Cricetulus griseus: one gene and its partner. The protein of the gene in region 1 purifies or fractionates together with the protein of each later gene. This does not show direct contact. Links are inferred from orthologs where the notes say so. Each region holds a gene or a part of one and is shown on either strand. Other genes may lie near its edges. The genes, in order: Tead4 and Vgll4.

Region 1 (3,811 bases):
TGAGACCCCTGGATCGCTCCTATCTGAAGGCCAGCTGCTGTAGGATCACCCCACCACAGTGGGCTTCAATCTGGGCTCCTCAGCGGGAACTGAAGCTCCCACGGTGAGTACCGATGCATATTTATTGAACATGTGGATGTGCTCATTGCTACATGAGGCACTGTATAGACACGAGGTAGGTGGATGCTATACCCATTTTGCAGATGGGAAACTGAGGCACCATAACGTTAACACCCCAGAGGTTGCACATCAAAGTCAGGCTAGACTGATTTCCAGAGCCCTTCGTCCCTCACCTCTGTAACATCCCCTCAATGCTACCCTGCCCATTTCTGCACCCCCACAGATACATCCCTGAGTTCTGGGCACACACACAAACATGCCCAGGTTGGATCTTTCTTCCTGAGGCTCCAGGTTACTAGAAACTGGCTCCAACTGGGGAAGCCTTGAGAAAGCAGCAGAGAGCCAGACCCAGGCCCTCCAGAGGGAGGGAAGCAAGGGGCTGGGGCTGAGGGAGAGATCATTGAACTGGCATGGTACCCAGTCACTATTGTTTTGTTTTTTGAGACAAGGTTTCTCTGTGTAGCCCTGGCTGTCCTTGACCTCACAGAGATTCGCCTGCCTCTGCCTCCCAAGTGCTGGGATTAGAGGTGTGCGCCACCACCACCCGGCATGGCCTAGGCACTTCATAGACATCCTCTCCTCACCAGTGCTGAGCGGAGAGAAAAGTGGACGAACAGAGAAGCCAAGGACTTGAATCAGGACTCCCTACTTCGAAGCCTTGCCTCAATCTGGAGTCATAGCCCCCTGCAGGGCCACTGCAGGGCCACCTGAGTAACTCAGTCTCCAGCCAACAACTTTGTTGAAGCCACACCTAAATCTAGCCCTGTTTGCAGGGGTGGGGCCTTCTGCGGTAGCCATCATCACGGCAGGGCTGACAGTGTACACGGGTCACGCACAGCATCTCTGGGTGTGTGACCTGCATGCCATCTGTCCTCAGGCCACTAGTGTGACCAGCAGCAGAGTGTAGGGTTCCAGCAGCTGAGAAGGGACCACTGGGTCTTGAGCTTTAGCGTCTGGAGATAAACAGCTGGCTGAGTCCACTGGGGTTCTGGCTCCTGGACCATCTGAGAGCATCTCTGGGCTTGCTTCCAGCTTGCTTCCTGGTACCTCCTGGTGCCCCCTTCTCCCCTGCCCTCCTGGGCTCATACAGCCAGACCAGCTCCTCTGAAAATACTCGGCACCTTGGGTTTATTGGGGGGTTGGGCACTGCAAGATCAGGCAGTTTGCTTCTCTGCTCGGCTCTCTTGGCACTTCTGGGGGGCTGGCCCTGAAGGTTCCCTCCCAGGTCCCCATTTCCTGGATCTGTCCCCCCACCATCGTTCTCCAAGTCTCTCATTCTTTCACAAGCCGGTAGATGTGGTGCTGAGCCCCATGTTCGCTGGCTGACACTTCGAAGACGTAGGCAATGCACAGCAAGGTCTCCTGTGTGTCTCGATTGGTGACCACCTGCAAGTGAGACAGAGGTGACGGTCAGAGCCCTGGACTGGGAAGCCAAGGGTGCCACCCACCACCTCCGCACAGACCCCCTGGGCATGCGGCCCCCGGTCACACCTGCAGGATGGTGAAGTTCTCCAGCACACTGTTCATCATGTATTTCTCCGGTAAGTGCTTCAGCTTGTGGATGAAGTTGACCATGTACTCACAGAGCGGGGACCGGTGGATACGGTACAGGTAGCGACCGTTCTCATAGCGCGCATACTCTGTCTGTAGAACCCCAGGGACAGCAGAGGCTTAGCATCCCTTCACCTCTTGCCCAAGCCCAATTTAGCAGGGATGTACAAAAATCCAACACAGCCAATGGGACACAGAGGCAGAAGATGATCCAGGACCAGCGCTATCCTCTGAGGTTTCTAGACATGAAAGCAGACCTTTCCGCTCGGTCACTTCCAGGAGAAGGACATGTAAAGACCCGGAAGGAGCGGCCATGAGATGGGGCAGGTGTGGCAAGTGAGGCTGAGCTGAGGGAGGGAACCCGCATCCGTGTGGTGGAACTGCCTTACGCGTGAAGCTTGGTAGTGGATGCTACCAAGGAGCTGGATAGACAGCACATAGGATGATGGCTGGATAGACACATGAGCACCTCAAAACCTTGATAAGTTTAATGCAAGTAAATAACTGTAGGAGCTTTGTAAAAAACTGCCTTTGCTGGGATAGGACAGCAATTCTGAGCCCTGGAGTCCATCTATAGCACCAAATAGAACAAAAGACCACACACACACATTACACTCCCAAGATTAAGAGAAGTTACATGAGTGGGGCTCAGTGGAGCTAACGTGTATCAAAAGCTTCCTGGCAATGGAACAGCTAGGGTTGGGACCCATGAAGCGAAGGTCGAGATTCCCAGGTGCTGCCTGGCACCTAACTGTTGGACATGAGTTTCTGTCAACCTCAGGTAGAGAGGACACCATCAATTCAGACCCACGTAGGCCAAGAGGTGACCAGCCTGACAGCATGTAGTGTTAAGCACCGCAGTGTCACAGTCTTTAGGACCACACGGACACTGTGACATTTAAGGCCATTTTGTCATTCTCATCACACAGTAAGATCAGAAGGTCACAGTCATTGGGACCAATGGGTGGTGAAGGCAACCTGATACTTCCTTAGAGATCAGTCAGGAGTGTTAACACAACCCCAAGAGGAAGTGGGGGTCGGGGGAGGTGTACAGGGATGAAACCCAAGTCCTTAGCTTGAGAGCTCATTACCAGCCTGCCTGCCTTTGACAGGGTGAATGGGAGTGAGGCAGAGAACTCTGCCCAAGTGTAAGGTCTCCAAGGCACTCCAAAAACCAAAAAGCTGTGTGATACTGGGATGCCTGGCAAGGGGACTCGAAAGACTGTCTCAAAAGGGGTGAGGTGGGGATAAAGGGCTGTATAGCTCAATGGCAGAATACTTGCCGAACATACACCAGGCTCTTAGAAAAACTCAAACACCTGGAGAAACAGGGACTCCACAAGCTTGCAGCATTCGTGGAGTAAAAAGTGAGAGGGGAACAGATCCTGAACATCCGTTCTCACGGCCTATGCATCTAGAGAGCTGTGCAACTGAGAAAGGCCATGCCTATCCCCAGGACCAGCTGTCAAAGACACAGATGGATTAGGGAGAAACCCTTGGGCTAGCCCCTGCTTTGGCCCTGCTCTAGAAGTTGCGGGATGCTTGCAAGGAAGGTGTGAAAGGAATCCTGACCAAAAAATTAGTCAGGGATCGGAGGTGTGGGACAGACAATTAAATCAGTAATTTATTAGATGCCTCATACCCAACCTAAAACACACACTTCCTGAAGGTATGTGGAAGCCACATGGGGCCCCCCTCAGCAATCCTGCCCCCAAGAGAGCTCCAGGGAAAGGGGGCACACAGACCATGCCCTTTGTCTACACCCACTGGATGGCCTCCTACCTCAACTTTCTCCACCACTTGCTTGCCAAAGGAGCAGACCTTGGTAGAACAGGTAATGATCATGTTCTCCAGGCTCTCGTACTGGCTGGAGACCCCATAGAAGGCGTTGCTTTCATCGTCAATGTTGGTATTGAGGTCTGCCTGCCGGAGAAATGGAAGCATACGATTGTTTTCAGGGGTGTCCTTAGAGGTCACAGTGCAGGTTCTTGTGAAGGGACTCTAGCCGGCCTGAGCGTGACAAACATGGCTCTGGCACGCCCCGCCCTCCTCCCCATTCCCTCTGCCTTTCTAAAAGCCATTAGACCATATTCCTAAAGCCAGCCATCAAGGTCCTTTCCCTTATCTGACCACTTCCTCT
Region 2 (3,811 bases), about 12 Mb from region 1:
ACTCCTGTAATCCCAGTTGAGGCTATGACAGGAAGAAGATGAGTTTGAGGCCAGCCTGGGCCACACGGTGAGACCCCGTCTCAACCAGCAAGCAAGTGAGCGAATACACACTGCTGTTTTGAAAGTTAAGGTCTATGTTTTGTTGACTGAAAAAGGTGAGAAAGCAGTAGCCATTGTCACTGTGTCCAGAAAGTGGAGTCTCAGAGTCCCTCAGGTGCAGAATTTCAGATGAGGCTGTACGCTGGTCTCCTCCTGCCCGTATGTTCCAATGTGCCTTTGATGTGACTGCTCATGACACGGCCGTGTCTTTCTCCTTCCCTGTTCATGCACATTTGTGCATGCAGTGCTAGCGACGGTCCGGGGCCTTGTGTGCCCTAGGGCAGTGCTTAGCCTTCAGCCCTTTCCTTCCTCTTAATTTTTTCCTTAAAATAAATATATGCTGATACTCATGAAACCCTTGGCCAAAAGAAATTTTGCTTATTTTTTAATCGGGGGACAATGTTTAAGGAGTGCTTCTGCTTCTGCCGCGAGTGGAAGTAGCAATTATATAGATTGCATTTGCATGTGGCTGGAGTTTTTCTTTAGGAATAGTGAGTGCTAGGGATGGAACTCGGGGTCTCATGTGTCCTATGCAGGTGCTCTGCCTCCAGCCCCTGCTGAAATCATTCAAACCCTCCTCTGCCACATAGAAGAGTATAGCAATTGAGCTGTTAAATATAAGCATTGCACAGCTTCTCCTGGGTGTGGGAGAGTGGACCAAAAGATGAGCAAAAAGGACCAGTCCGGTCACTATTGAGGATTGTTGCCCTTTAGCTTCAAGTTATGGAGGTGTTGGTCTGATAAGCAGAAGACATGCTTCCTGTCTGCAGCTCACCTGAGCAAACCATTCAATTCACTTCACCCTGGTCAAGTGTTACCTCATCTACCCTCATTTGCAGGGGACTCTGCAGTTCCTTCAGGGTCCTTAGTCCCCACTTCGTTCCTGGAAAATCCTCTGGCTGCCTCTGAAGCTCATTCCTGTGTGAACTTCAAATGGATCAAACACACCATCCTTTAAAGGCTGTCACAGCCTCGAGGCATGGAGCCAGTGCTTTCTCCCCCACTGGGTGACTGGCCTCTCTGTGGGTGACTTCCCAAGTGATGGGGCCTCTCGGTAGCTTCTGTCCTGAGGCCCTATAGCTGCTGTCCTGAATGACTGCTCCTTTTTTGGACCCCTTGGAACTTGTTGCTGTGGTGATTGTTTCCATAGCGATGTCTGTTGCCCCAGCAGGCAGCTGATGAAATGGCTCCTGAAACTCTGGGGTCTGGGCTGAGCCTGTGTCCTCCCCACTCCTTGGCCCCTGCCAGGGGTGTTGGGAAACACTGGGCACAGAGTGTGGACAGTGTAGGCTGTTTTATGTAGGTTGATTTGAAGGGGTAGTAATACTTCCTGGGGTCCCATGGGGTTCTTCGTCTGCTCACCAGAGTCTTAAAGGGACAGCTCTGCTCTATAAAGGAAGAAACAGGGCTGGGGAAGGAGCAAGAGGCAAGGGGGGGGGGGAGCTTGCACCTTCTCAAGGTCTGAGGAAGGACACTGCTTAACTTTGTTTTCTGACACCAAAAGTTAGCAGAAAGGAAACTGAGGCCCACCCAAATCAGCCAGAGTCTATGAGAGTGGCAGGCATGTTCAAGAGTTCCTGTTGAGCTACTCTGTACAATATGGAAAGTTCCAGTTTGCCCTGTGGCCAGAAGCCTTACAAGAAATCCTGCCAGGGGTGTATTACAGGTCACTGTATATTTGCAAGTTTATATCTTGCTTTCTAAACTGGCAGGGTTTTTGTTTTTCCTGGTGGGTACGCAGAAGGCCTTTCCCTCCCTCCTTCCCCCTAACAAAATCGCATTTGTCGCTTGTGACGCCTGTTTGACGGCCACACATTAGTGATGATCTGAAAGGAAGTGAGTGGTCACAAAGGTGGCTTTTCTTGGGTACCACAGTGCCTCAGATGAAGTTGACTTCATGCTAGTATGACTCTTACTTGTGACCGGTGGAAATAAGGTTGGTCAGGCCCCAGAAGCCAATGTGTACTGCCCAACAGAAGGGTTTCTCTGTGTGAAAGTTAGCCTGCCCACTCAAAGTAATTATAACTCTTGTTATAAATTTTAGAAGATACAAACCCCTTAGTATTTGAAAAGCCCTGTTTGTCTTGATTCACAACCAGGCATAAATTTATCTCTCAGCTCAAAGCCCCTGACAACAGCCCAGAAAGTCAGACCTGTCAAAGAAGATCTTTGACGGAGCCCTTGTGAGTGCCTAGCTGTGAAACACATTTTGAGAGTTGCTACTTGGGACTGGAGAGGGCTCAGTGGTTAAGAGTACTTGCTGCTCTTCCAGAGGTCCTGGGTTCTGTTCCCAGCACCCATGTTGGGCAGCTCACAACTGCCTGTAACTCCAACACCAGGGGATTCAACAGCCTATTCTGGCCTCCATGGGCATTGTGTACACATACACACACACACACACACACACACACACACACACACACACTTTTAAAAAATGTAAATATAAACAGCAAAATTAGCCTGTGAACAATGGTTTCATGCACTTTCTTAAAGGTGTAAGGTTGAATTCCTGAGACTCAAAGGACCTTCCTAGTTTTAATTTCCCTTTGGGGATTGCTCACAATCAGTTTTCCCCTCTCGGCTGTTTATAGCAACTTTTCAATTTAAACTCTACCCTAAAGAGTTAGTGCTGGCAAATCTCGTTGTTGTCAAATGTCCCCTGCTTGGCAGTGGCTGTATGCCCAGACCATGTTCTGAGAATGGCAGGCTGCCTGCTGTATTGCCAAAACTTTCCACAGAGAGAAGTTTTGCAAGGGGTGGGCGGGGGGCCAGGGAGCTAGGGGACCTCGGAGACCACAATGGGGGTGCTTTTCTTGCTGGTAATAACATCCCCATTCTCTTTGTGTAGGTGAAGCTTCTCTCAGGGGAGAACCCAGAATGCAGACCCTCCCAGTGGCCTCTGCTCTCAGCAGTCACCGCACAGGCCCACCCCCCATCAGCCCTAGCAAGAGGAAATTCAGCATGGAACCCGGGGACAAGGACCTCGACTGTGAAAATGATCATGTCTCCAAGATGAGCCGTATCTTCAGCCCCCACCTGTAAGTTCTGCCCCTTTGGGCTCATGCTTGCTCTAGGCTGGGCTTTGTTTTCTTTCACCTTTCTGCCCATATTGTCATTACGCTTTCATGAGTTATTGATAAAGGACATTGTTTATAAAAGATAGGTGGTGGTCATATGCCAGGAAGGTGTCAAGCTGACTTTAGTAACTGGTCCAGAGATGAAATCTTACTTCCTTTCAACTCCTACAATTTCTCCCTCTTGGAGGCCAGCAGCCCTTAAGACCTCCTGTGGGCATGGTCTGGAAAACCTGGTTTGGTGCACTCTCCTGGACATTATTCAAATTGATAGTGTTGTCTGTCTTTACACACCCAAGAAACGATGTGAGTACCTATGAAGCCGTGCGTGCGTGCGTGCGTGCGTGCGTGCGTGCGTGTGTCCATCCAGTACTGTGGCCTAGGGAGCACTCCTTTGCACCTGTGGCTGGTCACAGCTGGAATTACCTTGGAGCCATGGTAAGAGAGCCTCTCTTGGTGTCAGGAGACTGTAATTCTGATCCTTGATTGGCATTGGCGTGCTTTAGTGTCCTCTCTGTCCCTCATCCTTCCTTCCTTCCTTCCTTCCTTCCTTCCTTCCTTCCTTCCTTCCTTCCTTCCCTCCTTCCTTCCTTCCTTTCCTGTTAAGATTTTATTTATTTTTATGTGCATTGGTATTG

The links.
Region 2: the proteins of Tead4 (region 1) and Vgll4 purify together in Homo sapiens (co-immunoprecipitation; 5 studies listed by BioGRID and IntAct, counting the BioPlex papers as one, with this or other methods). This does not show direct contact. The link is inferred for Cricetulus griseus from reciprocal best matches to the Homo sapiens genes TEAD4 and VGLL4.

What each region holds. Positions count from the first base shown.
Region 1 is NC_048601.1:18,179,945-18,183,755, reverse strand, and holds part of Tead4 (transcriptional enhancer factor TEF-3), read right to left. Parts: intron 3,595-3,811; coding exon 3,454-3,594; intron 1,765-3,453; coding exon 1,612-1,764; intron 1,507-1,611; coding exon 1,393-1,506; 3' UTR 1-1,392. UniProt on the Homo sapiens protein: Transcription factor which plays a key role in the Hippo signaling pathway, a pathway involved in organ size control and tumor suppression by restricting proliferation and promoting apoptosis.
Region 2 is NC_048601.1:29,949,712-29,953,522, forward strand, and holds part of Vgll4 (transcription cofactor vestigial-like protein 4), read left to right. Parts: intron 1-2,942; exon of another isoform or gene 2,943-2,947; coding exon 2,948-3,137; intron 3,138-3,811. UniProt on the Homo sapiens protein: May act as a specific coactivator for the mammalian TEFs.